Lonchura striata: one gene and its partners. The protein of the gene in region 3 interacts with the protein of the main gene of each other region in a pairwise test. Links are inferred from orthologs where the notes say so. Each region holds a gene or a part of one and is shown on either strand. Other genes may lie near its edges.

Region 1 (7,782 bases), on a different chromosome or scaffold from region 3:
TTGGGATGGCAACCCTAAAATGGGGGAGAGGGGAACTTCGGAATTTGGGGAGGTGGGAACTCAGAAATTTGGGGAGTGGTGACCCCCAAAATTTTGAGGGTGGGAGAAGCCTCAGGGAGGGGGGGAAACCCCAAAATTGAGGAGTGGGAGCCCCAAAATTTGGGGAGGGGGGAACCCGTAAATTCGTGGGAGGGGGTAACCCCAAAATTTGGGGAGGGGTAGCACCAACATTTGGAGGAGAACTCTAAAATTTGGGGAGGGGGAGCCCCAGAATGGGACCCTGATGGATTTTGGGGTCCCTGATGGGATTTTGGGGGTTCCCAGGTATATTTTGGGGTCCCTGAAGGATTTTGGGGTCCCTGATGGGATTTTGGGGTCCCTGATGGATTTTTGGGGTCCCTGTTGGGATTTTGGGGGTCCCTGATGGGATTTTGGGGTCCCTGATGGATTTTGGGGTCCCTGATGGGATTTTTGGGGTCCCTGATGAATTTTGAGGGTCCCTGATGGATTTTGGGGGTCCCTGATGGGTTTTGGGGTCCCTGATGGATTTTGGGGGTTCCCAGGTATATTTTGGGGTCCCTGATGGATTTTGGGGGTCCCTGATGGGTTTTGGGGTCCCTGATGGGTTTTTGGGGTCCCTGATGGGATTTTGGGGTCCCTGATGGGATTTTGGGGGTTCCCAGGTATATTTTGGGGTCCCTGTTGGGTTTTTTGGGGGTTCCCAGGTATATTTTGGGGTCCCTGATGGATTTTGGGGGGTCCCTGATGGATTTTGGGGTCCCTGATGGGATTTTGGGGTCCCTGATGGGATTTTGGGGTCCCTGATGGGATTTTGGGGTCCCTGGTGGGATTTTGGGGGTCCCTGATGGATTTGGGGTCCCTGTTGGGATTTTTGGGGTCCCTGATGGGATTTTGGGGGTCCCTGATGGATTTTGGGGTCCCTGTTGAGATTTTGGGGTCCCTGATGGATTTTGGGGGTTCCCAGGTATATTTTGGGGTCCCTGATGGGATTTTGGGGTCCCTGATGGATTTTGGGGGTCCCTGGTGGGATTTTGGGGGTCCCTGATGGGATTTTTGGGGTCCCTGGTGGATTTTTGGGGGTCCCTGGTGGGATTTTGGGGGTCCCTGATGGATTTTGGGGTCCCTGACGGATTTTGGGGGTTCCCAGGTATATTTTGGGGTCCCTGATGGATTTTGGGGGTTCCCAGGTATATTTTGGGGTCCCTGATGGATTTTGGGGTCCCTGATGGATTTTGGGGGTCCCTGATGGGATTTTTGGGGTCCCTGATGGATTTTGGGGTCCCTGATGGATTTTGGGGGTCCCTGATGGGTTTTGGGGTCCCCCAGGGCTGGAGGAGCTGGGATTGGACGGCGGCTCGTCCCCGGGGCGGGGCCCGGGCGGGGACAGCAGCTCCGTGTCCTCATTGGGCCGCGACGGCTCCGCCCCCGGCAGCACCAAGGTGGGCGGGGCCGAACGGGTTAAAGGGGCGGGGCCTGGCTGGGCGTGGCTCCGGTGGGCGTGCCCTTGGTGGGGCTCCGGTGGGCGGGGCTCCGGTGGGGCTTTGGTGGGCGTGGCTCCTGTGGGCGTGGCCTTTGTGGGCGTGGCCTTGTTGGGGCTCCGGTGGGCGTGGCCTTGGCGGGGCTCCGGTGGGCGTGGCCTTGGTGGGCGTGGCTCCGGTGGGCGTGGCTCCGGTGGGCGTGGCTCCGGTGGGCGTGGCCTGACGGCCCGGCCCCGCCCCGCGCAGTCGGGCTCGGGCAGCCCCGGGGGCGGCAGCGCCGGGGGGGTCCCGGCCGGGGGGGGCCTGTCCCCGGCAGAGGTGGCCGAGCTGTTCCAGAGGCTGGCCCAGAGCCAGCAGGAGCGCTGGCTGCTGGAGGAGAAGGTACTGGGAGCACTGGGAGCGACTGGGAACGGGTCGGGAGCGAGCTGGGGGGGACTGGGAGGGACTGGGGGGACTGGGAGGGACTGGGGAGGAACTGGGAATGGGTTGGGAGCGAACTGGGAGCGAGCTGGGAGGGACTGGGGGGACTGGGAGGGACTGGGAGGGAACTGGGGGAATCTGGGAAGAACTGGGAGGGAACTGGGAGAGACTGGGAGGAACTGGGAAGGACTGGGGGAAACTGGGAGGGACTGGGAAGGACAGGGAGGGAACTGGGAGGGACTGGAAAGGATTGGGAGGAATTGGGAAGGACTCAGAGGGAACTGGAATGGACTGGGGGGACTGGGATGGGACTTGGGGGAACTGGGAGTGACTGGGAAGGACTGGGAGGAACCTGGGGGGACTGGGGGGGACTGGCAGGGACTGGGAGGGAACTGCAGGGGCACTGGGAGGGAACTGGGAAGGACTGGGAAGGGACTGGGAGGGACTGGGAGGGACTGGGAAGGACTGGGAGGAACTGGGAGGGACTGGGAGGGACTGGAAGCGACTGGGAGGAACTGGGAGGGACTGGGAGGAACTGGGAGGGACTGGGAGGAACTGGGAGGGACCTGGGGCACCGCTCACCTGGAGCTGCCGGGGCAGGTGAGGCACCTGGAGGTGTCGAGCGCGTCCATGGCCGAGGATCTGTGCAGGAAAAGCGCCATCATCCAGAGCTTCGTCAGGGACAGCCGCACAGGTGAGGGCACCCGGGCTCACCTGGTGGCACCTGGGCCTCAGGTGGACCTCACCTGTCCCAGCTGTCACTGTAGCCTCACCTGTCCCAGCTGTTCCACTGCTGTCACCTGTGCTGCACGGCCCTCCCTCACCTGTACCCTCACCTGTGCTGCATGGCCCTCCCTCACCTGTACCCTCACCTGTGCTGCACGGCCCTCCCTCACCTGTACCCTCACTTGGCACTGCAGCCAGCCGTCAGCTCACCTGTCCCTTCCTCAGCTGTCCCCATCCGTCTGATGGTTCTTACCTGTGCCAGTGTCACCTGTGCCCTGACCTGGCCCAGTCTCACCTGTCCCAGTCTCACCTGTCCCCACCTGTCCCAGTCTCACCTGTCCCTCTCACCTGTCCCAGTCTCACCTGTCCCCCTCACCTGTCCCCCTCACCTGTCCCAGTCTCACCTATCCCAGTCTCACCTGTCCCCCTCACCTATCCCAGTCTCACCTGTCCCCTCTCACCTGTCCATCTCACCTGTCTTTCTCACCTGTCCCAGTCTCACCTGTCCCTCTCACCTGTCCCAGTCTCCCTTGTCCCTCTCACCTGTCCCTCTCACCTGTCCCATCTCACCTGTCCCCCTCACCTGTCCCATCTCACCTGTCCCATCTCACCTGTCCCCCTCACCTGTCCCAGTCTCACCTGTCCCAGTGTCACCTGTCCCTCTCACCTGTCCCCACCTGCCCGCAGAGGCGGCGGGGCCGGCGCGGCGCGGGGCGGGGGCGGGGCCGGGCCCCGGTGAGGAGGGGCTGCGGGAGATGAACAAGAAGCTGCAGAACCTCCTGGAGGAGCAGCTGACCAAGAACCTGCACCTGGCACAGGTGAGGGGGCGGGGCCCGAAGGGGCGGGGCTTGTGAGAAAGGGGCGTGGCTTGAGAGAAAAGGGGCGTGGCTTGTGAGAAAGGGGCGTGGCTTGTGAGAAAGGGGCGGGGTTGTGAGAAAAGGGGTGCGGTTTGTGAGAAAAGGGGCGGGGCTTGCGAGAAAGGGGCGTGGCTTGTGAGAAAGGGGCGGGGGTTGTGAGGAAAGGGGTGTGGCTTGTGAGAAAGGGGCGTGGCTCCCAAAAGCCCATCGTTTGTGGAGATGGGCGTGGTCTGTGGAAAGGGGTGTGGCTAAACGGGGTGTGGCTCATCGGGGGCGTGGTTTAAACGTGGGGGTGTGGCATAAGCGATGACATCACCGAGTTTACCGACGTGAAAGGGCGGGGCTTAAAGTGGAGGCGGGGCTTTCGGCGGTGGGCGTGGCCAGGACAGGGCGTGGCCGCTCTGGGGGCGTGGCCTCGCGCAGTGGGCGTGGCCTGTTCCCATCCTCATTCCCCTTTTCCAGGACCTGGAGTCGCTGTCCCAGGAGCTGGCGCAGCTCAGGAAGGAACAGGCGACCCCCTCGGGACCCCCCTGAGGGGCGGGGCCTCGCCTGGTGGGCGGGGCCTCGCCCCCGCAGGCTCCGCCCCCCGGCCGGGGCGCTGCTGCGGGGGAGGCGTTGCCCCTTTAAGGCCGTGCTGGGCCCCGCCGGCATTGCCCCTTTAAGGCGGGACGGTTCTTTACATGGCGTTGCCCCTTTAAGGGTGGGGTGGGGGTGTTTCCCGGGTGGGCGTTGCCCCTTTAAGAGCTGGGTCGGTCCCCGCCGCGGCGTTGCCGCTTTAAGGAGGAGGTGGTCCCCACTGTGGCATTGCCCGTTTAAGGGGGGTCCCGCATGCGCCCCCCCCTCTCCCCCCCAATAAACCCGATGTGAATCGCTGCCTCTGACGTCATTTTGCTGCCTTGGGAAAGGGCGGGAGGGCTCGGTGACGTCATTTAAGAGCCTCCCTGCCGAGCCCGCCCCGTGACGTCACTTCCGCGCGCTGCCCCGGATGTTGTTGCCGCGGCCGCGGCCGCAGGACGGGCACGGGCGCGCCGCGGCTCCGGATCCCCCCGCCCCAGCCCCGCGCACCGGCCCGCCGGGGGGCGCGGCGTGACGTCAGCACGGTGACCTAACACCAGCCCCCCCGCTTCCCCGGCTCGGGGGGCGGCGGCGGCGGCGAAACCCCCCAAGAACCCCCAACCCCCCCCCGGGACCCGCCCCGACATGGCGGCGGCGCCGGGGGGCGGGGCCTCGCCGGGGGGCGGGGCCGCGCTGGAGGAGGAGTGCGAGGTAGTGCGCGTGCGCGTCAAGGTAAGGGGCGGGGCCGCGCGTGGGCGGGGCCGCGGGTGGGCGGGGCCGCTCGTGGGCGTGGTTACGCCCCGGGTGTGGTTGGAGGGGGCGGAGCCAATCAGCTCGTGGGGGCGTCGTCGCCTGCGCGCGTGGCACGGGCGGGAAGTTTTCCCGCCTCTGGCGTCACGTGGGGGCCTAGCGGCCAATCAGCGCGCGGCGTCGCCGCGGGGACGGGGCTGCGCCGCCATGTTGGGTCGCCGTGAGGGGCCGGGGGGCTCCGGGACCCTCCGGGACCCTCCGGGACCCTCCTCCCGCAGAAGAACGAGGGGCAGCAGCCGCCCGAGTTCCGCTCGTTCGCCGTGGACCCGCAGATCACGTCGCTGGATGTGCTGCAGCACATCCTGGCGCGGGCGTTCGACCTGCAGGGGTGAGCGGGGCTCCCCTTGTACCCTTTTTGTAGCTGGGCCCGCCCAGAGCAGCCGGCTGAGCCCCGCTGTGCCCCCTCAGGAAGAAAAGCTTCGTCCTGAGCTTCGCGGCGCACAACGGGCAGGGCCAGGACACCTTCGTGCCGCTGCTCAGCGACGGCGACCTGGCCAACGCCTTCAGCTGCGCCCGGCCCGCGCTGAGGCTGCGCCTGGACGTCAGGAACGGCCCCGAGAGTGAGCGGCGCAGCGGGACAGAGCCGGGACAGCCGGGATAGAGCCGGGACAGCTGGGACAGAGCTGGGACAGAGCTGGGACAGAGCTGGGATAGAGCTGGGACAGAGCTGGGACAGAGCCGGGACAGAGCCGGGACACACCTGGGACAGAGCTGGGACAGAGCTGGGACAGCCGGGACAGAGCTGGGACACACCTGGGATAGAGCTGGGATAGAGCTGGGACAGAGCTGGGATAGAGCTGGGACAGAGCTGGGACAGAGCTGGGACAGAGCCGGGACAGAGCCGGGACAGCTGGGATAGAGCTGGGACAGCTGGGACAGAGCTGGGATAGAGCTGGGACAGAGCTGGGACAGAGCTGGGATAGAGCCGGGACAGCTGGGATAGAGCCGGGATAGAGCTGGGATAGAGCTGGGACAGAGCTGGGACAGCTGGGATAGAGCTGGGATAGAGCTGGGATAGAGCTGGGACAGAGCTGGGACAGCAGGGACAGAGCTGGGACAGAGCTGGGACACACCTGGGACAGAGCTGGGATAGAGCCGGGACAGCAGGGACAGAGCTGGGACAGAGCTGGGACAGCAGGGACAGAGCTGGGACAGAGCTGGGACACACCTGGGACAGAGCTGGGACAGAGCTGGGACAGAGCTGGGACAGAGCTGGGACAGAGCTGGGATAGAGCTGGGACAGAGCTGGGATAGAGCCGGGACAGCAGGGACAGAGCTGGGACAGAGCTGGGACAGCAGGGACAGAGCTGGGACAGCAGGGACAGAGCCGGGACACACCTGGGACAGAGCTGGGACAGAGCTGGGACAGCCGGGACAGAGCTGGGACAGCTGGGATAGAGCTGGGACAGAGCTGGGACAGAGCTGGGACAGAGCTGGGATAGAGCTGGGACAGAGCTGGGATAGAGCCGGGATAGAGCTGGGACAGAGCTGGGACAGAGCCGGGACAGCCGGGATAGAGCCGGGATAGAGCCGGGACAGAGCTGGGACAGCTGGGATAGAGCCGGGATAGAGCCGGGATAGAGCCGGGACAGAGCTGGGATAGAGCTGGGATAGAGCTGGGACAGAGCTGGGACAGAGCCGGGATAGAGCCGGGATAGAGCCGGGACAGAGCTGGGATAGAGCTGGGATAGAGCTGGGACAGAGCTGGGACAGAGCCGGGACAGAGCCGGGACAGAGCCGGGACAGAGCCGGGATAGAGCTGGGATAGAGCTGGGACAGAGCAGGGACAGCCGGGACAGAGCTGGGACAGAGCCGGGACAGAGCTGGGACAGAGCTGGGACAGAGCTGGGACAGCAGGGACAGAGCTGGGACAGAGCTGGGTGGGGGGAGACACACCTGGGACACACCTGGGGGTGCACCTGGGATATACCTGGAGGGGGGAGATACACCTGGGGGAGGGGAGACACTCCTGGGATACACCTGGGATATACCTGGGATACACCTGGGTGGGGGAGAGACACCTGGGACACACCTGGGTGGGGGAGACATACCTGGGTGGGAGGACACACACCTTCAACACACCTGGGTGGGGGGAGACACACCTGGGACACATCTGAGACACCCCCAGACACACCTGAGACACACTTAGGTGGGAGAAATCACCTGGGACACGCCTGTGGTACACCTGGGACAGACCTGGTTGGTGGGGACACACCTGGAATACACCTGAGATACACCTGGGGTAGTCACAGACTTGGCTGGACACACCTGGGCGGGGCAGGACACACCTGGGGACGCACACCTGGAGGCCTGGGCTGGGTGTCAGGAGGTGCTGGCTACCTGGGGGAGCCCGGGGGGCTCAGGTGTGTGAGGCGGGGCTCAGGTGTGCAAGGTGGGGCTTGGGGGGGTCTCAGGTACCTGTGGCTCAGGTGTGCTGTCCCCAGGCCCGCTGCTGGAGGACTGGGACATCATCAGCCCGCGGGAGGTGGCGGCGGCCGAGCCGGTGCCCGAGCGCCGCTCGCTGCTGGCGGCGGCCCTGCCCTTCACCCAGGCGCTGCTGGCACAGGTGAGCGCACCTGGCACAGGTGAGGCACACCTAGCACAGGAGTACACCTGGTGCAGGTGAGGCACACCTAGCACAGGAGGACACCTGGCACAGGAGCACACCTGGCACAGGTGAGGCACACCTAGCACAGGAGTACACCTGGCACAGGTGAGGCACACCTAGCACAGGAGCACACCTGGCACAGGTGAGGCACTCCTGGCACAGGAGCACTCCTGGCACAGGTGAGGCACTCCTGGCACAGGAGCACACCTGGCACAGGTGAGGCACACCTAGCACAGGAGCACACCTGGTGCAGGTGAGGCACTCCTGGCACAGGAGCACACCTGGTGCAGGTGAGGCACACCTAGCA
Region 2 (7,899 bases), on a different chromosome or scaffold from region 3:
CAAGCACTCAAACACAACATCTGCCAACTGATTGGAGGACAGGTCCAGCTCTGTCAGAGACTCAGCCCACTGGCACTGCACGTCAGCTCCATCGTGGCGCAGCAGGTTGTTGCTCATGTCCAGGTATTTCAGTGATTTCATACGGCTGGTCATGGAGCTTACTTTGCGAAGGCTCTCGAATTTATTCTTCTGCAAGATTAATATCTCCAGCTGATGTAGGTTGTCACATTTTTGAAAAAGAAAATCTGTTAAATCATTCTTTAAAAAATTTAGGTATCTAAAGGGACTCTTAGATGAAGGACAAAGCATATGAATCATCTCAGAATCAGCTATTGTCATGTCTTCAATATTCATGTCTGCAAATATTTTGTATAGGTCATCCTGTGTGAAGTACATGTCCGTGATTATAATTTTCTTCATTGTCAGTGCTTTCATAGAAGTACCTGAATAGTCAAAGTCATAACTTTCAATGTCTGACAGTTGTGTTACATTGTTAGTATTGAAGTATTCAATGGACGAGTGCCATACAGTCTGAAAAATTTCCATAAGAGCATTCCAATCCACTGACACATTTGTCAGTGTCAGATTTTGTAACCTGGATCCTTGTGTGAAATTAGATAATAAAGCTATCAATTTTTTTACATTGTCATTTGTGATTTCTGACAATGACAGACTTTCTGTAGTATTTTGTATCACAACCCAATCAAAATCAGCTTTGGACTGATTACTGTTTGTATACAGGAGTGGCAGGCTCTTGATTTTTTGTTTAGAATCATCTTCTGGAAAATTGTTAGAAACAGATGTAAAGAGTTCATCTTCCACAGACAGGCTGATGTGGCTCCAAAAACTTAATGCAAACAGACACTTGTAAAGAAAACCGTTTCTAAAAAAGCTTGTATTCTGTGTCATACTGTTTTCTGTTTCCTTGAAGACGCTCAATACTTTTCTTAACTGTCCATCTTTGTTCTAATCCTGCAGAAAACAAAGAAACACAAGCAAAAACCAGATTGTATTAAGTAGCTGTGCAGGAACCATCAGAAAGAGAGATTCTGAGAGATTCTTTTAAGGTTCCAATTTCTCACTCTGTTTGATTCAAAAAGCAATGATTTTCTACAATCATTCAGAAGAGTCATTCATTATTAACAGATTACTGAATTTTTTATTTGGCAACTATGGTGTATTTATCAAATAATGAGTCAGTTTTTAACAAAATATGTCTGATTTCATATGTGTCTAAAATTTGCTGCTTAGTTACAGCATTACTGCTGTGATACAGTGTATTATGAAGGCTTCCTAAATTGTGTAATACACTTTGATTAGAAAGTACAATAACTGGTGTCAACACGTCATCGTCTACTCAGATTCTCCCTTAAATGATGTGAACTGGGCTCAGAGACATTATTTAAAAATGTACTTTTGACAGCAACCCTTAGACTGAAACATAGAATGAAGGTTCAAGAGACATTCCTCAAAAGTTGAATGTTTTTAGATAGCTGAGACTGGATCATCAGTGCTTCTTGTAACTGGGGAAATGGGGGTGAGGGTAGAATGATCTATATTTATGCCTTGGGGAAGTCCACAGAAGGGTTCACTTTTTGTCTGAGCTTAAGCATTTCCTGAATTTAGACTCTGAAATTGGGGTGCTCACATCTCACTTGACATGTGTACAAAGAGAACACCAGACACATGCTGGCAATATTTGCAGGCTACACAAAAATATATCAGTTGCAGAACCTCTCTACACAAAATCCAGCCCTGATTTAAGGACACTGACCTCAAACATCTCTGTTGTGTGAGAGGTTTATTCAAACAGACTTTAAAGGGGAAAATGATAACTGTGTCTTTGCTTTGGTTTTCCCTATTAGAGGTAACTTTTTCTTTCTGAATGTAGCAGTTTAGGATAGCCAGCCTCCCTTTGTTTAAGTCAGCCATTGAGAATACTGTCTTAAATCTCCTTTTAGGTATTGCATAAATCCATTAGACTTCCCATCTAAAAGAGGAACTGGCAAGAACTTGGTTTTAACACTTTTAAATGTGTAAATATTATTTAAAGTTGTTTTCCAGATTTCTAATGTCTTTTTATTTCCTCTTCTTTCTCTTTCCCTCCCATTAATTTTAAATCATATTGTTGCCCAAAATTTCCCATAGTATTTATTAATGACTGCACAGGCCTTCAACTTTCACTTGATATTGAAGAGGTTAAATTCTGAGTTTATATATTTCTAATGACTCTAGAATGAGACAGTAGCTATCACCTGACAGACTGATTTAGAACTTCAAAGACTACATTCACTGCACCATTAACCATTCCACAAGCTTTCTCAGAACTACTGGGGCAAAATACATGTTCTACTTGATCTAACAAAAAGAAAAAAAAAAAAGTACACTGAGTTCTTTTTTAAAGAATGCATGAAACTAAGCTTGGAAATCATCTAGAAAAAGCAGGGTAATATGGCAAAACTTTTCCAGCCTTTTTCCAAATTCTCATTTGGAAAAATTATATGCATCACAGCCCTCAAAATGCACTTGGGTATATTCAATCCTGTTCTTCTGATTGTTTGGGCAACTCTACTAATGTGTTTATAAATTTATGTGCTTAAAATATGTAGCTTCAAGAGAAAGCTGAAAAAAAAAATTTACCTTTAAATCATTATTCCTTCTTTGGATAAAATTTCAGCAATATCCATGGACTAGATGAAAAAAGGATAGGAGTCTTCTACATGTGTTTTATTTTCTTTCTATTTCATATATCCTAGCATTCAGTCAAATTATTTATGAGTACCTTAAAAATTTCTTTAGAATATCATAGGAAGCAACACAAGTAAAAAGCTTTTATAACATATAACCTGTGATTTGGAGACTAATACTGTAGAAATTATCCTTCACAGTCATATCACATTTAATTCAGAAGCATCCTCATGTCTTCAAACGTGATAAAAAAAGCTTAATCAAGAAAACAATCCAGGAGGGTAGGCAAGCAAAGAGCATAGTAGGAAAGTGCCCTGTTGTTTATAGAGAAAGGGGAGAGAAAAAAAATGAGGTTTTAAGAGTTTTGCCAATATGAAACTGGTATAAACTGACTAAACTTCCATATAAGAAATATACAGAATACTTTTAGCTAAGACAGTTCAGTATTAAGACATGCACTTCACAAGATACCAACATAGCAAAAACCTCTGATGTTACAAACATGCCTTCAACAAGGATGAAACACATGATCAGGTTAGACCCAGTTCCTGAACTGGAGAAAAACTACTGTCATCACTCTGCCTCACTTAATTATGGGTGTAGTGCTAATAAAAAGAGACTGCTACTTGGACAGTTTTTTGGAGAAATATTCTGAACACAAGCAACTTCACCATCATTGCTTACCCATACACTTAAAAGAACATCGTACACATGCTGTGGAATACAAGGCACATTTTAAAATAAGATACAGAAGATAAAACAATTCCAGCTAACTAGCAACAGCAAAAGTCAACAAAATTAAAACTTTCTCACCAGAAATCCCTGCTGTCCGAAAAAGCAGAAAGTGTTCTCAGGAAAACAAAAAAAAAGAAAAACTTCCTGTAACTTTATCCTATTGAGTAACAATACTTAGGAACACCCAAATTTTTACATACCGGTTTGTGCCATCTACTGACAGCTTGTGAAATGGCATTTGCTTTTCTCCAGATATATTTTTCACATACATTACTGTAATATCCCCCTATTCTATTATTATTGAACTTTGTGGCTTTATGCTTTGCAATATATTAAACAAGAGAAAAATGAATATTTTTACCAACTTTATACCTTCATTAAATTAAGATGAAAATAAGTACTTCTTTTGAATAAGAAATTCAAACACCTTCCTATCTGAATTTAATCATGATCTAAGTCTCTATGCATTATGTTAATTTTTCATCCATTTAGCTATACCAATTTAGTTGTCAGACTCTTATCAAGGCTGGTTTATAAAAGTACCATTTGTCTTAGTTTAATTTCCATTTAATGGGAATGGAATAATAATCCCTCTCCTGCTCCAGCAGTGTTGTTATTGGGTTAAACAGTGAACATGGATACATTGAGAGGGGTTTGTTTTGGTTTTTTTGTTTTGGTTTTTTTGTTTGTTTGGGTTTTTTGTTTTGGTTTTGTTTTGTTTTTTTGGTTGTTTTTTTTTTTTTTAATTAAAACAGAGCTGTGACTTTGGTACTGAATGGCCAAACACAGGGCTACTGTCCTGGCAAAGACATAAACCAGTCTCTCTTCATTTCTTGATAATATTGGTTAGAAATTCCACCATAGCTGAGACCTAAATACAGAACTGCCACACTGTAACTTACCTTTCTGGGTTAGCATATTAATGATTTAATGATTCATATTCATGATCTAATATTTCATTATATTAATAATATACATTCATTATTTAATATTTCAATTATTCAGGCAGCAGAGGAAATAATCTAAAAAATTACTTTTTTGCTTTGAGGCTTATTCTGTATATTAAATATAATTTCTCGGCCTCAAGTGAAAAGAAGTCATCCAAAAATGAAATTGAAAGATAGGACAGGTAGTAAGTAACTGAGATACTTCAGAGATTTATGCCTGGTAAAGTCACATAGCATGATCGGTATTTGTAAAACACCCTTCTGACAGCTGTTGTGACCGCTTGGAGTAGCTCTTCTCAGTGGCTCACAGTGTGCCGGTTTGCCTTCTATGTCAAAACTTCTCTCGTTGGCAGACTAGTGATAGAAATGCTGCTATATTGTCTTTCACCATGCTTTGCCTTAAGACAGCAAAAAAGAGGAACGGGTATGAGGAACTACACGGAAACAAGAACCACGGCTACTGGGAACAGCCTGAAAGCCCTTTGCTCAACCAAGTGTTTCACCGACTGACTGGAAATGCGTGCGGGGAGCGCCGGCTCCTGCCAGGGCATCTCCGGTACACACAGCGGTATCGAAAAGCTGCATCTCCGTTCAATTCCGCAACCCCACGGTCAGTAAGTGCTCACTTTGAGGAAGGATCAGACTTTCTTAAAAAAAAAAAAAAAAAATAATGCCAGCTCAGCAACTAGATTAATTTGGACTTTTTCTCTCATTGGATGGCTGAGCACTGAACCGGCTTCCCAGCGAAGCAGCCACAGCACTAAGCTTGTCCAAGAAACGTTTGGAGACGACGCTCTCAGGCACGTGGCGTGATTCCTGGGATGGCCTGCACAGGGCCAGGAGTTGGACCCGTTGATCCCGACAGGTCCCTTCCAGCTCAGCATATTCTATGACTCTATGAACTTGCCCCTTTCCGCCCCAGCACGGCCGCAGGGGCGCCGCGGCCCTGAGGGAAGCCGGCCCGGCGCTCCCGGCGGGGTCCCCGCGCCGAGAGCCCTGAGGGGCGGGCATGGCGGCCGGGCCGGACAAGCCTGAGCCCGGCACGGCTCGGCAGCGGCGCGGCGCTGCCCCTGCAGCAGGCGGGCGCCTCACGCAGCCGGAAGGAGAGCGAGGGACAAAAGCCAGCCCTCCCTCCTCCCTGGGCCGGCCCGGGCTGCCGGGCCCGCTCTGCCTCCTCCCCCCGCTGCTGCCGACGTGGCGGGGCGGGGAAGGGAAGGAGCCGGGGCCGCGCCGGTCGGGGCACTGCTGAGTGGTAAGGAGCACGGCGATTTCTGCATTTTCTGCCGCTTTTGACATTGGCTACGCCACACAGCTCTGTCCCAGAGGGGAACTTCGAAAAGGGGAAAAAAGAAAAGGAGAAGCGGGAAGTTGCGGCCGCTGCGGGCTCGGGGGAGCGGCGCCCCGGCTGCTCGTGCCGCGCGTGGGGCAGAGGGCAGCGGGGCAGGGCGAGCTGCCGGCGCCGGGCGCCGCGGGAGCCTCGCCTGCGCCCGCCGTGCCCGCGGAGGAGAAGCGGCAGCGGGCGTCGAGCGAGAGGGGAACAAGGTGCTGTCGCCAAAAAAGTGATTCCTCCTTTCCGCGCGGGGACGGCGATTCGTGCCCGAAGGCGCCCGGCGGCAGCGGGGCTTTGCTTTCTAGGGGAGATGAAACTCCTCAGCGCGGCAGGTGCCGCCACCGCCGGGCCCCTCAGCGCGGCTGCTCCGTGCGGGCCGGGCTGGCCTTAGCATCTCCCTCACGAGCTCCCCGTAGAGTAATTCCCTTTGGGCGGAGCCGTCCGAGTTGATTTGGATCAGGACAGTCTCAGGGATGAAAGGTTGAATGGCGCTGACCCCGGGTGCAGCTCGTGTGGTCTGACAGAGGCGGTGATTTGCTGTTACCTGCCGTGCTCTGGAAGGAAGGTTCAGCAGGCAGCTGCAGGGAGCGTGGCCTGAGTGGTACCCAAAGATGACTGCAAAAACTTTTTTGCAGTACTTCAAAAATCCATGTGCGCATTTGTGTGATCCTTTAAAAAGTGCTGGGCTTACTCAGAGCTAATGCCCATTCAAAATTATGAAGTATGTGTCTAAAGGTTTTACAGGTTTTAATAGAGAATTCCCATACCTCATGATGGAATTTGATTTACAGATAGAAGAATTTTCCTTAGGTGATGCTGCCATTCACACAGTGCGTACTGTTAAAACAATAGCAATACTTCCCTACAAGAAAGCATTTTATAATATTTGCTGCATTTTAAATGAAAAACTGTCAAATGCAAAGATTCTGACTTCAGAATTCAAGTTTTTTGAAGATAATTAAGGTACAGTGTAAGCTGAAGTAATAGAAGTGCTTACTTTTTTACTTATGTTTCTTGTTCACTGATCCGAAGTGCTACTCTTGGAACTCTTTAAACAAGTGATCTACATTCACATTAGATGAACAGGCTCCTAAAGCTATAGATATATACAGTTCTATAGACTTTAATAAAATATACTAATTAAATACATGCTTCTCAGGCAGATTTCTCCTAAATCCCAGTTATGTTTTCTTTTTGCCTTTTTTTCCCCCTGTTCTTTAGTCTCTCATAGAATCCCCATTCTTCCTGACAGATCAAACCTTTGAGCCATGTTTAATTAATATGAGAGTCAATGAGAGAGCAGCATCAACAGAGAGAACTGTACAAGTCTTTATGCCATGCAACTCAACATTTTGCAAGCTCTCTGTCAAGGATTGTTTCCTGAGTGCCAAGTATACTGTTGTTACCAAAAAATAAGTGTTACTAATCACAGACCAGCAGTTCTTTTGGACTCTGGCAGTGCAACTCCTTAATCAGCTGCAGAGCTTGCTGTATGGCTTTATCTTTGCCCATCAGCATCCTTAGCCTGATGACTGTACAATTGTGGAAAATACCTCCAAAATTACATTGGAAGACAAGGAAGAAATAAGAGAAAACTGGTTCATAACTTACAAACTTATCTTGGTTTCAAAATTGAAGTTAAATCACACAGTTGGAGTTTTAGGAGATGGTGAGAAGTGATGCATTCCCCAAAGAGCAAGACTTTGGGACAAGTGATACAGAAACAGTGTGAGCAATGACTATGCTATGGCTGTGTCTATGAAATGGCTCTAGGGGCCCATGGCCTATCATGTTCACAGATTGTGCCCCTTCTCAAGCACATGAATGTCACCACAGTTTTAGGTACAGAGAGTTATCCTCCCCTCTATTAGCAGGATGTAGGAACCTGTGTTTGTCTCAGTGATGAAAGGGAAAGCAAGAGCTGCTTGGTTATTGCAGCTTGGATTATTTTGTTCTGCAATGGTCTTTCATACACACCTGATAGCGAATATTGACATTAACCATGTGGAAACTCCTACATTTGACTTCTCCAGAAAAATTAATATCCTTTCACTCTCACTGAACCATATTTTGGAAAACAGTAATGCTGCTCTTTGTATTTGAGTGGGATCCAGCAGAGTGAATGGAGTATTTACAGTATTATTTTGATACCAGTGCCAGCATGAGGCATGTGCCACAGGGCTCCATGCTTTAGGAGGT
Region 3 (7,925 bases):
CAGTTCCAATTATACAGAAAACCATTTTTATATATTAAAAAATACAGTTAAGAACCAGATTAGAAGCAATCCCATGTTCATAAAGCTACCATGCCTAAAGTATCAAAAAAGAAAAGTCAGTGAATGCCAATGACCAATGAAACAGGGAATACAAAGGGACAAGAACTGCTGAGCACAAGGCAGTCTTGCACAGTCAGCCTCTGGCTGTCATTTTAAGAGACTGAGATGATCCTGAATTCCTGTGTTTAAGCAGATGAAAGCATATGGAATCAACTCAGAGAAGGCACATACAGGTGTCTTGTGTAACTCCAGGGAGGTTTCATTGGTTTGCTTATGGATCACACAACTTTGTTTTTTAGTGCTGAAAGAGGAGCTAAATGTTAACATCAGTCCTCAGCTGAGTCTCTTAGTTTTCTCCTACAGTTTGTTTACAACTAACTGCTGAGTCACCAGGCAGCTGAGGCATTTCCAAAGACTCTAAATCAAATACCAGAAACAAATTTCTCGACTGCTATGAAATCTACATGGTCTGCAAGGCCAGTGGCATATCTTCACTGGCTAGAAAACTGTGGACACCACCATGGGAACTGAAGAGGACAGTCATGATCCACTTTTAATTTCCACTGTCAGAACTTTGAGTTCAATTGCCTTCATCTGAGGAAGAGCATTAATACCTAGACTACCACCACCATCTTGGCAACTGTGCACAACATAACTTGGCTCTTGAGTACTACCTCTATTAGAACACTTAAAAGGCTCACAGGAGATCTAAAAGCAAAACCAACTTACCACTATTGACATATTCAATTCACTTCAAGAATAATGATTGCAGTAGTTTTAATTAGTTTCCTGTAGCAACTCAAGAACACAAGAATTTAAAAAAATTACTAACCAAAAAGCCAACAGCAAATTTGTGAGCTGTTTTCCTCTCTGTGTTTCCTTTCTCTTACTATTCTGATATTTGGTTCTTAAGCAGCTGCAACAACTGCAGAAATGACACATCCATTCTGTATTTCACATTTCAAGCAACTCCTCAAATTCAGGAGTGCAGCACAGACCATTACACTGAGGATGTTTCTTTGTAAAAATTTAATCAGTATACAATCAATGTACCAAAGCAACTGTAAGCTGCTGTCTACCACTTTAATGACTACAGTTTTTAGAGATGCCCCAGAACTGGCCACATGCTCTGAGACACTGCCGTTCTGAACTGTGCACTACTGTCTTGCATCACACCAGCCTGACAAACCTCTTCTTACTTCTCCTGAATTTGCACGGGTAATATCCTGTCCTGGTCTGATGAACTGTCACTCAAGTAAACACTCAACAAAAATCAGAATTATCATCTACAGCCTAAGGTTTCCAACATGGTCATTACAACTGCGATGTATTTCTAATAATTAACTTGTACTACAGCTGCTGCTGCAGAACCTAAAAAGGCTTTCAGAGTTTAAATACACATTTAAAAAGCAGATAAAAGTCACATAGTAGTTGCACCCACTCTATTTAACAACCTCATGTGTAATGCAACTACAAGGTATAATTATATTCCACCAACAGATAATTTGGTTCATAGGTATGAAGTACAATTATGAAGGCATCCCTCAGAATAGCACCTAAAAAACCAGGTGTGTCATCAAACTTATTAAAGAAGGCATTTAGACAGGTATGAGGAAAACAGCAAGGAAAACACACAATACACAGGCACAATGGTTAACTAAGTCAGCTACCTTGCCCTGACAACAGTTTGATTGAAGTATGCTACTTCCATCCATGCTAGGTGGAAGAAGCATAAAATGTATTAGCAAAGGGTCTTCAAGCAGCAACTCCTACCAGCATATGGCTATGCCAACAGCATTTGTAAGCATTATTACTTATCACGCAGCAGCCAGTTACAAATGGAATGGAGTAAGTTTTTGAGAAATGTTCAACGCTAGGTCGGATGGAGCCTTAAGCAAGGTGGTCTAATGGGAGGTGTCCCTGCCCACAGCAGGGGGGGTTTGTGACTAGATCATCTCTAAGCCCCAGTCTAACCCCTTGACAGTCTATGATTCAGTATGTTTTTAAGAAGTAACAAGAAACATCTGGAAAAGCAGTGGTGTGTGTACATACATACACATAAAAAAAGAAGTCCCTTTAAATTAGACTGGAAGAGCCAGGGCTTTTAATTCTTCTTTGACAGCGTGTCTTCACACAGTTTGTTACAGAGCTCCAGCCCAGACTGGAAAGAGCATCCTTGCAGCCTGAGCTGAAGGTAACTCGCAGCAATGAGACAGAAACTCATCACAAAACTGCGAGGACGAGTGTGGCCTCGCTACCACAAGGCTGCAAACCACGGGCACTACCCAGATCTAAGTTTCGTTGTGACAGCGCCTTCCTCCTCTCCGCCGGCCCGCTCTGCTGCCGCAGCCGGGGCCGTGACACAGCCGGCGCTGCCCCGCGGCCCGCCAGCCGGGCCCGGAGGCGGCTGCCAGCGGCCCAAGGCCGTGGGAGACAAGGCCGAGGCCGCGGGCGGGGCCCGGCGCAGAGGCGGGGGGAGACGCCGCCTCTTCCTCGCGCGGAGCCACCACGTCGGCGGCACTGCCAACACTGCGGAAATGGGCGCGGGGAGCCGGGCCTTCCTCCCCGCCTCCCGCCCCGCTCCGGCGCGGGCTCACCCACCTGTGTCTCCGATGATGATGTACTTGAAGAGGTACGCGTAGGCCATGGCCGCTCCCGGGCTGCCGCTCCCGGGCTGTCCCGCTTTCGCTCCGGCGTGACGCTCGCGCTCGCCGCCCGGGCTCGCGCTGCGGAGAGGCGGAAACGGCTAACGGCCCCCGGGCGGCGCCTCGCCCGCTCGCTCCCTCCTACCTCCGCCCCCGCGCCGCCGCTGGCGGAGGGGCTCTGCTCGCTCGGGCCTGCTGTCCGCCCTCCCTCGCTCCCTCCCGCCGCGGCCCCGCAGGCGCCGGGAAAGCCAGAACGCGGCGGCGGCGGCGAGAACAATAAACAGGCGCCGAGCGGCCCGCGGACCCTCCGGCGACGTCAGCGCCCGCCCCCTGACGCCGCCCCGCCTCCGACCCGGAAATGCTGAGGCGCGAGGCCGCTCCCGCCGCGCGCGGGGCGGAGCCTCGGCCCCCGCCCCGCGGGACTGAGGGCGGCGGCGGCTGCGGTGCGGCGCCGCGCGGAGCTGCCGTCCCTGAATCCCGAATCCATCCCGCCGGGAAAGATCTCTGGGGTCATCGCGGCCACCCGTGACCAAACACCACCATGTCAACTAGACCGGGGTGCTGAGTGCCACATCTAGTCTTTCCAGGGACGGTGACTGCACCAAGTCCCTTGGCAGCCCACGTCAATGTCTAAGCACCCTTTCCCTGAAAGAGTTCTTCCTCATCTCCAGCCTAAATCTCCCCTGTCACAGTTTGAGAGTATGTTCTCTCATACTGTCGCTGGTCGCCTGGGAGAAGCAGCCGACCCTCACCTGGTTGTAACCTCCTTTCAGGGAGTTGTAAAGAGTGATGTCACCCCTGAGCCTCTTTTTGTCCAAGCTAAACCCCAGCTCCCTTGGCCGCTCCTCACGGGATTGGTAGTCCAGACTCGTCCTTCCTTGGACTAGCTCCAGCACCTCAATGTCCTTTATAAATCGAGATGGCCCAAAGCATAAACCCTCTGAGAATAGCCAGCAACGAGCTGTTTGGTACGAGTTTATCTTCATCCCATGAGTGAGTTCTGGCTTGGAAGGGTTTTTTCCCTTTCTGTTTCTGTCTTTCCTCACTGAACTGAAAGCAACGAACTAGGGGAGTAACCTAAATTCACAACTGGTGTTTAGGACTTAGAGTTCACACGGGATTGGTGAGCTGGAAGAGGCTTCAAGGTCTTCCGTAGTCTCAGCTGCTTCATGAAGTGTCCGGTGTACCCTGGCCTTTGGACATAAAACAGTCAAAGGCAGCTTGGCTGACATATCACATCCACACTGAGGCTACAACAGATGCCTGGCAAGGGTAAATGTGGTAGGGCACTCCAGTCAGATCATACTGACAATGTTTTGGGATTTCCTTCAGCTCAGCTGTGTGGGCTGGTGGTACTGTTCAAGAGTCATTGGCACATTCTTCATACAAACTGACATTTTACTCCCCTTCTGGCTGTCTGGTAGAATGTGAGTAAAAGGTGTCTGTCTTTTAACTTTATAGAGGTTTTTATTTGTGGTTAACAGCTTGGACAACATTGACCTACATGGCTTCTAAAAGGTGTGCCTCTGACTTACTTGTAAAAACCTTCAATAAAGCTGATTGTGCCAAATCCTGCTGTCATATTTCATGACCTGAAACACAAAATTAAGTTGTTGGTTTTTTTTAATTCCTGTCTACTGTGGATGTGCAAATGCCCCCCTGCCAAACAACACCAGGAAGTGGAAGGAGCTCCTTTATATATTATAAACATATCTACCTTTTCCAAATGAAAAATTCTGACTGCTTGTCAGATGTTTGCCTACTATTTTTTTTCCTCCTCTGGACTTCTAATTTTCCCAACACTGTTTATTAAGTGTAGAGCCCAAAACAGCAGTTCTCACATGTCTCTAACCAGCCTCATCACCTCAAAACTAGTAAACGAGTATCTCCAGTCTTGCCCCTCTCTGAACGTGGGTTTTTTTTTTAATCTACAACATCTGAATTTAATTTTTGATACCAGATCCCTATTCTAGATAGTTACTACTCAAGTGTATCCATACATTTGGTATGTCTTTATTAGCACTGTTTTTTCCCTTGCTAAATTTCAATAGTTTAGCAAAAATATTTGAATTTTTTTTCTTTTTATATTATCTCTGCCATTTTGTTACCCAGACCATTCATGACAATATTGAATAGGTCTTGCATGGACAGGACAGAACATCGAGAAAGTGGCATGTGAAATTTTCTCATAGTTTGAAAACCTCTCCATGCTGAAAAGAGCCATTTCTCTATTATTTTATTTGCAAGTAGTTTCAATACACATTTTTGTTAATAAACAATTCCTAGCCAGAATGAATTTTTTCAGAGAAGCAGGTTTTTGCCTTGCTTCCTATGAAAGTTAGGCTTCTGTTTTCACATATCCCTGTGCGTCTCTCTTTCTTGCCCTAATAATGATCATGAAATCTGGCATCTGGCAATGGAGCAGGGTACCTCAGCTGAAGGAAAGGCTGCAGTTGGGGTCAGCTGTCAAACCCAATCAAAAATTCACACTAAAACATGTCTTCTCAAGTGCTTCCTCAGCAGCTAAGCCCTTCAGCTGGCATTCAAGCTGTTGGCATGGGTTTGTGTGACCTCAACCACTGGAGACAAAGCTGTAGGAGATCAGGCCATAAGCAGATAAGATCTCATCCTGTATAAGTAAAGGTTGCTGCTTCTAGGGATGGGGCAGCTCTGTTCCTCATAATCTCCCTTGTTCTGGCACTGTCAGAGTCATCTGCTGAATAGGAGAAGTGGCTAAGCTTTCATTTTTCCATATTAGCTTTCAGGAAAAATCATCTTGGGTCCCTCAGCCACACCAACAAACTAAATAACCTCATCAGTTGGATCCCCTCTCTGCCCAGCCATCACTGCTCCCAAAAGATCCTGTGGTTGTGAGGGCTAAAGTTTACTCTATGCGATCAGTCATACAGACAGGTATCAACTCTCAGGATGAGCTCTCTCCTGTAGCTGCCTCCCCTGTGACTGGCAGGATGAAGTAGAACTGTGTGAGATTTTGTGTCCTTCACCTTCCCTTCAGAGCTCTGTTTTTGTTCATGACAAAGTCTCCATTAGTACTGTTGGGGATTCCTACATAATTGAGCCCCAAAAGGTATTACTCTGAGGGTTGGTCAAGTCTTGGCAATCTGTCCTCAACATCAAACATGAGTTCAAATGTGTTTGATGGTGACAGACTTTTTAATAGGGACTGTAGCAATAGGATAAGGGATAATGGTTTTAAACTAAGAGAAGGCAGATTTAGACTAGACATGTGGAAGAAATTTTTTTTAGCATGAGATTGTTGCTTGTTGCAGAGGTTTGGGCTCAATGGTCTTTGAAGGTTCTTTCCAGCCCAAACTATTTTATCATTGTATGAGTGCATGATTCTATGATTCTGTTTACCTCGCTAATGGGATTTGGTCTCATAGTTCCCAAATTTTGCCATCTGCCAGACTTCTAGACAAGCCAGATTGGCCTGATGCAATTGAATGAGATCTAGTAAGAAAAGGGAATTCTGTTTTGTAGAACTGAGATTTGCTGATGGGGAGAAAATACAGACAGTGCAGAATGCCCAGTGAGATGGAAGGTGCTTTAACATCACGGCTGAACTGACAGTTGACAGGTGGGTCAGTTCAGAGGGAAGGCAGCTCTACCTGTTTGTGCTTTGGCAGCCTGGTGAGCCAGCCAGTAACCAGCTTGCAGGTGACTCACATGGCAGGGCAGTGCCCCACTGGCTTCAGTGGCTGTCAGCTTGGGCCAACAGCTGTACCATGGACAGATAACCTGGCCTCTGCTGGTTGGCCAGGCAGCCAAGCTGCTCTGTGGAGTACTTCAGTCATTTGTGCTGGTTAGGGATAGTTGGGATAGTTATTGCATCAGTGTTAGGGATAGTTTTTGAATCAGTGTTTGGTAGAGGCTTGCAAGGATAATGTGCAAGAATTTGTTGCTTATGCTATCACATGGTAAGTACAAGCTAATTTGCTGCTGGAGAAGAGACTGTTCCTAACTTACTGAATGTTATCTGCTTTTCTACAAATCTGAGATGCCTCCAACTAGAGATTAATATAAAATTGATTTTTCTCCAAGTTATGTGTACCATATATCATGTTAAGTACTAATAAGAGGTATGCAAATAGCTACTGTAATAATTTTAATTTTTTTTACTTCTCACCTGCTAAATTTACTTTTTTCAGAGAAATTAATATCTTCTTTTGTTAAGCATTAATACTTGATAGAAGGCTTCAATGTAATCAGACTCACTTATTAAAAAAAATATTAGCCAGTTGATAAAAAAGAAGCATTGGTAATTCAGTATTGAAGAAATGCAGAGGATTGTTTTTCTTTACTTTTTTTCTTGTTAATATTATCATGACTGCTCATCTGTAATGATTTTACATCATGTGATGAAATATTTCACTATGATGACTGTGTCAGGATAATATTCTGGTAAATATGGGAAAGTTTCTGGATACATTTTGGAAAACTGTAACTTGCTGGGGTTTTTTGTGTCACTTATTTTTTTCCTGAATTTTCCACTTAGTAAACTCACTTGGGGTTTATAGAAAAGCCTTAGGCTTTGCAGGATCCTTACCACTAAAAGTACTATTTAGGAAAGAGGCTTGGAGTCATCCAAGGCTCGACATACTCTCCAGAGCAAAGTAATAGACTGGAATTTTTCAATGGAAATTAAAACACAAAAACAGAACTCTGGCATAATATTTGAATACAATCACTTTAATTATATTTTGTACAGTTGTATCATTTAACTGTTAGAAGTAAATCTCTACCTCCACTTCAGTCTAGCTTAAATTTTTTAAATAATTCAGTTGTATGGTTAAATTTTCTATACAGATGCTGAGTAGGAAATGTTATTTTCTGGTGCCTGTCATTTAACTTGTCTGCATTTACTTTTTCTGAACATTAGGTGTATGCTATAATTTTTCTTATTTGTGAATTTTAAGATTAGATTTGTATAATACTTAAGAAACAAGTCAATATGCAGTATATTTTATTTATTATAAATTTTGAGAATGGGACCCCACTTCATATGGAAATAAGTATAGAGAGCAGATCCTGCAAGAAGACAAATAAAGCTAAATCTCAATAAAGATCTGCCTTTGTAAAGATAATTTTAAAATACATGTTAAGCCTGTAAAGGTGAACTGGGGACAACTTCTGAGTTGAGTAGTTAGAAATGTCTGTGAGTGATGTGTGGCTTGGGTTTTGCAGGTCCTAGATCAGGCA

Evidence for each region.
Region 1: the proteins of RAB2A (region 3) and TBC1D25 interact in binary tests that used the Homo sapiens proteins (3 or more experiments, as listed by UniProt). The link is inferred for Lonchura striata from reciprocal best matches to the Homo sapiens genes RAB2A and TBC1D25.
Region 2: the proteins of RAB2A (region 3) and FAM114A1 interact in binary tests that used the Homo sapiens proteins (3 or more experiments, as listed by UniProt). The two-hybrid records come from large-scale screens. The link is inferred for Lonchura striata from reciprocal best matches to the Homo sapiens genes RAB2A and FAM114A1.

Annotation. Positions count from the first base shown.
Region 1 is NC_134638.1:1,573,817-1,581,598, reverse strand, and holds the start of TBC1D25 (TBC1 domain family member 25), read left to right. Parts: upstream 1-4,702; coding exon 4,703-4,789; intron 4,790-5,085; coding exon 5,086-5,195; intron 5,196-5,275; coding exon 5,276-5,427; intron 5,428-7,311; coding exon 7,312-7,433; intron 7,434-7,782. Other genes in the region: GRIP1-associated protein 1, read left to right, coding at 1,348-1,460, 1,746-1,880, 2,520-2,613, 3,333-3,463, 3,965-4,036. UniProt on the Homo sapiens protein: Acts as a GTPase-activating protein specific for RAB33B. Involved in the regulation of autophagosome maturation, the process in which autophagosomes fuse with endosomes and lysosomes.
Region 2 is NC_134606.1:22,665,957-22,673,855, forward strand, and holds the start of FAM114A1 (protein NOXP20), read left to right. Parts: upstream 1-4,873; 5' UTR 4,874-4,886; coding exon 4,887-4,980; intron 4,981-5,554; exon of another isoform or gene 5,555-5,622; intron 5,623-7,899. Other genes in the region: toll-like receptor 1, read right to left, coding at 1-909. UniProt on the Homo sapiens protein: May play a role in neuronal cell development.
Region 3 is NC_134603.1:37,405,594-37,413,518, forward strand, and holds the start of RAB2A (ras-related protein Rab-2A), read right to left. Parts: upstream 3,030-7,925; 5' UTR 2,708-3,029; coding exon 2,662-2,707; intron 1-2,661.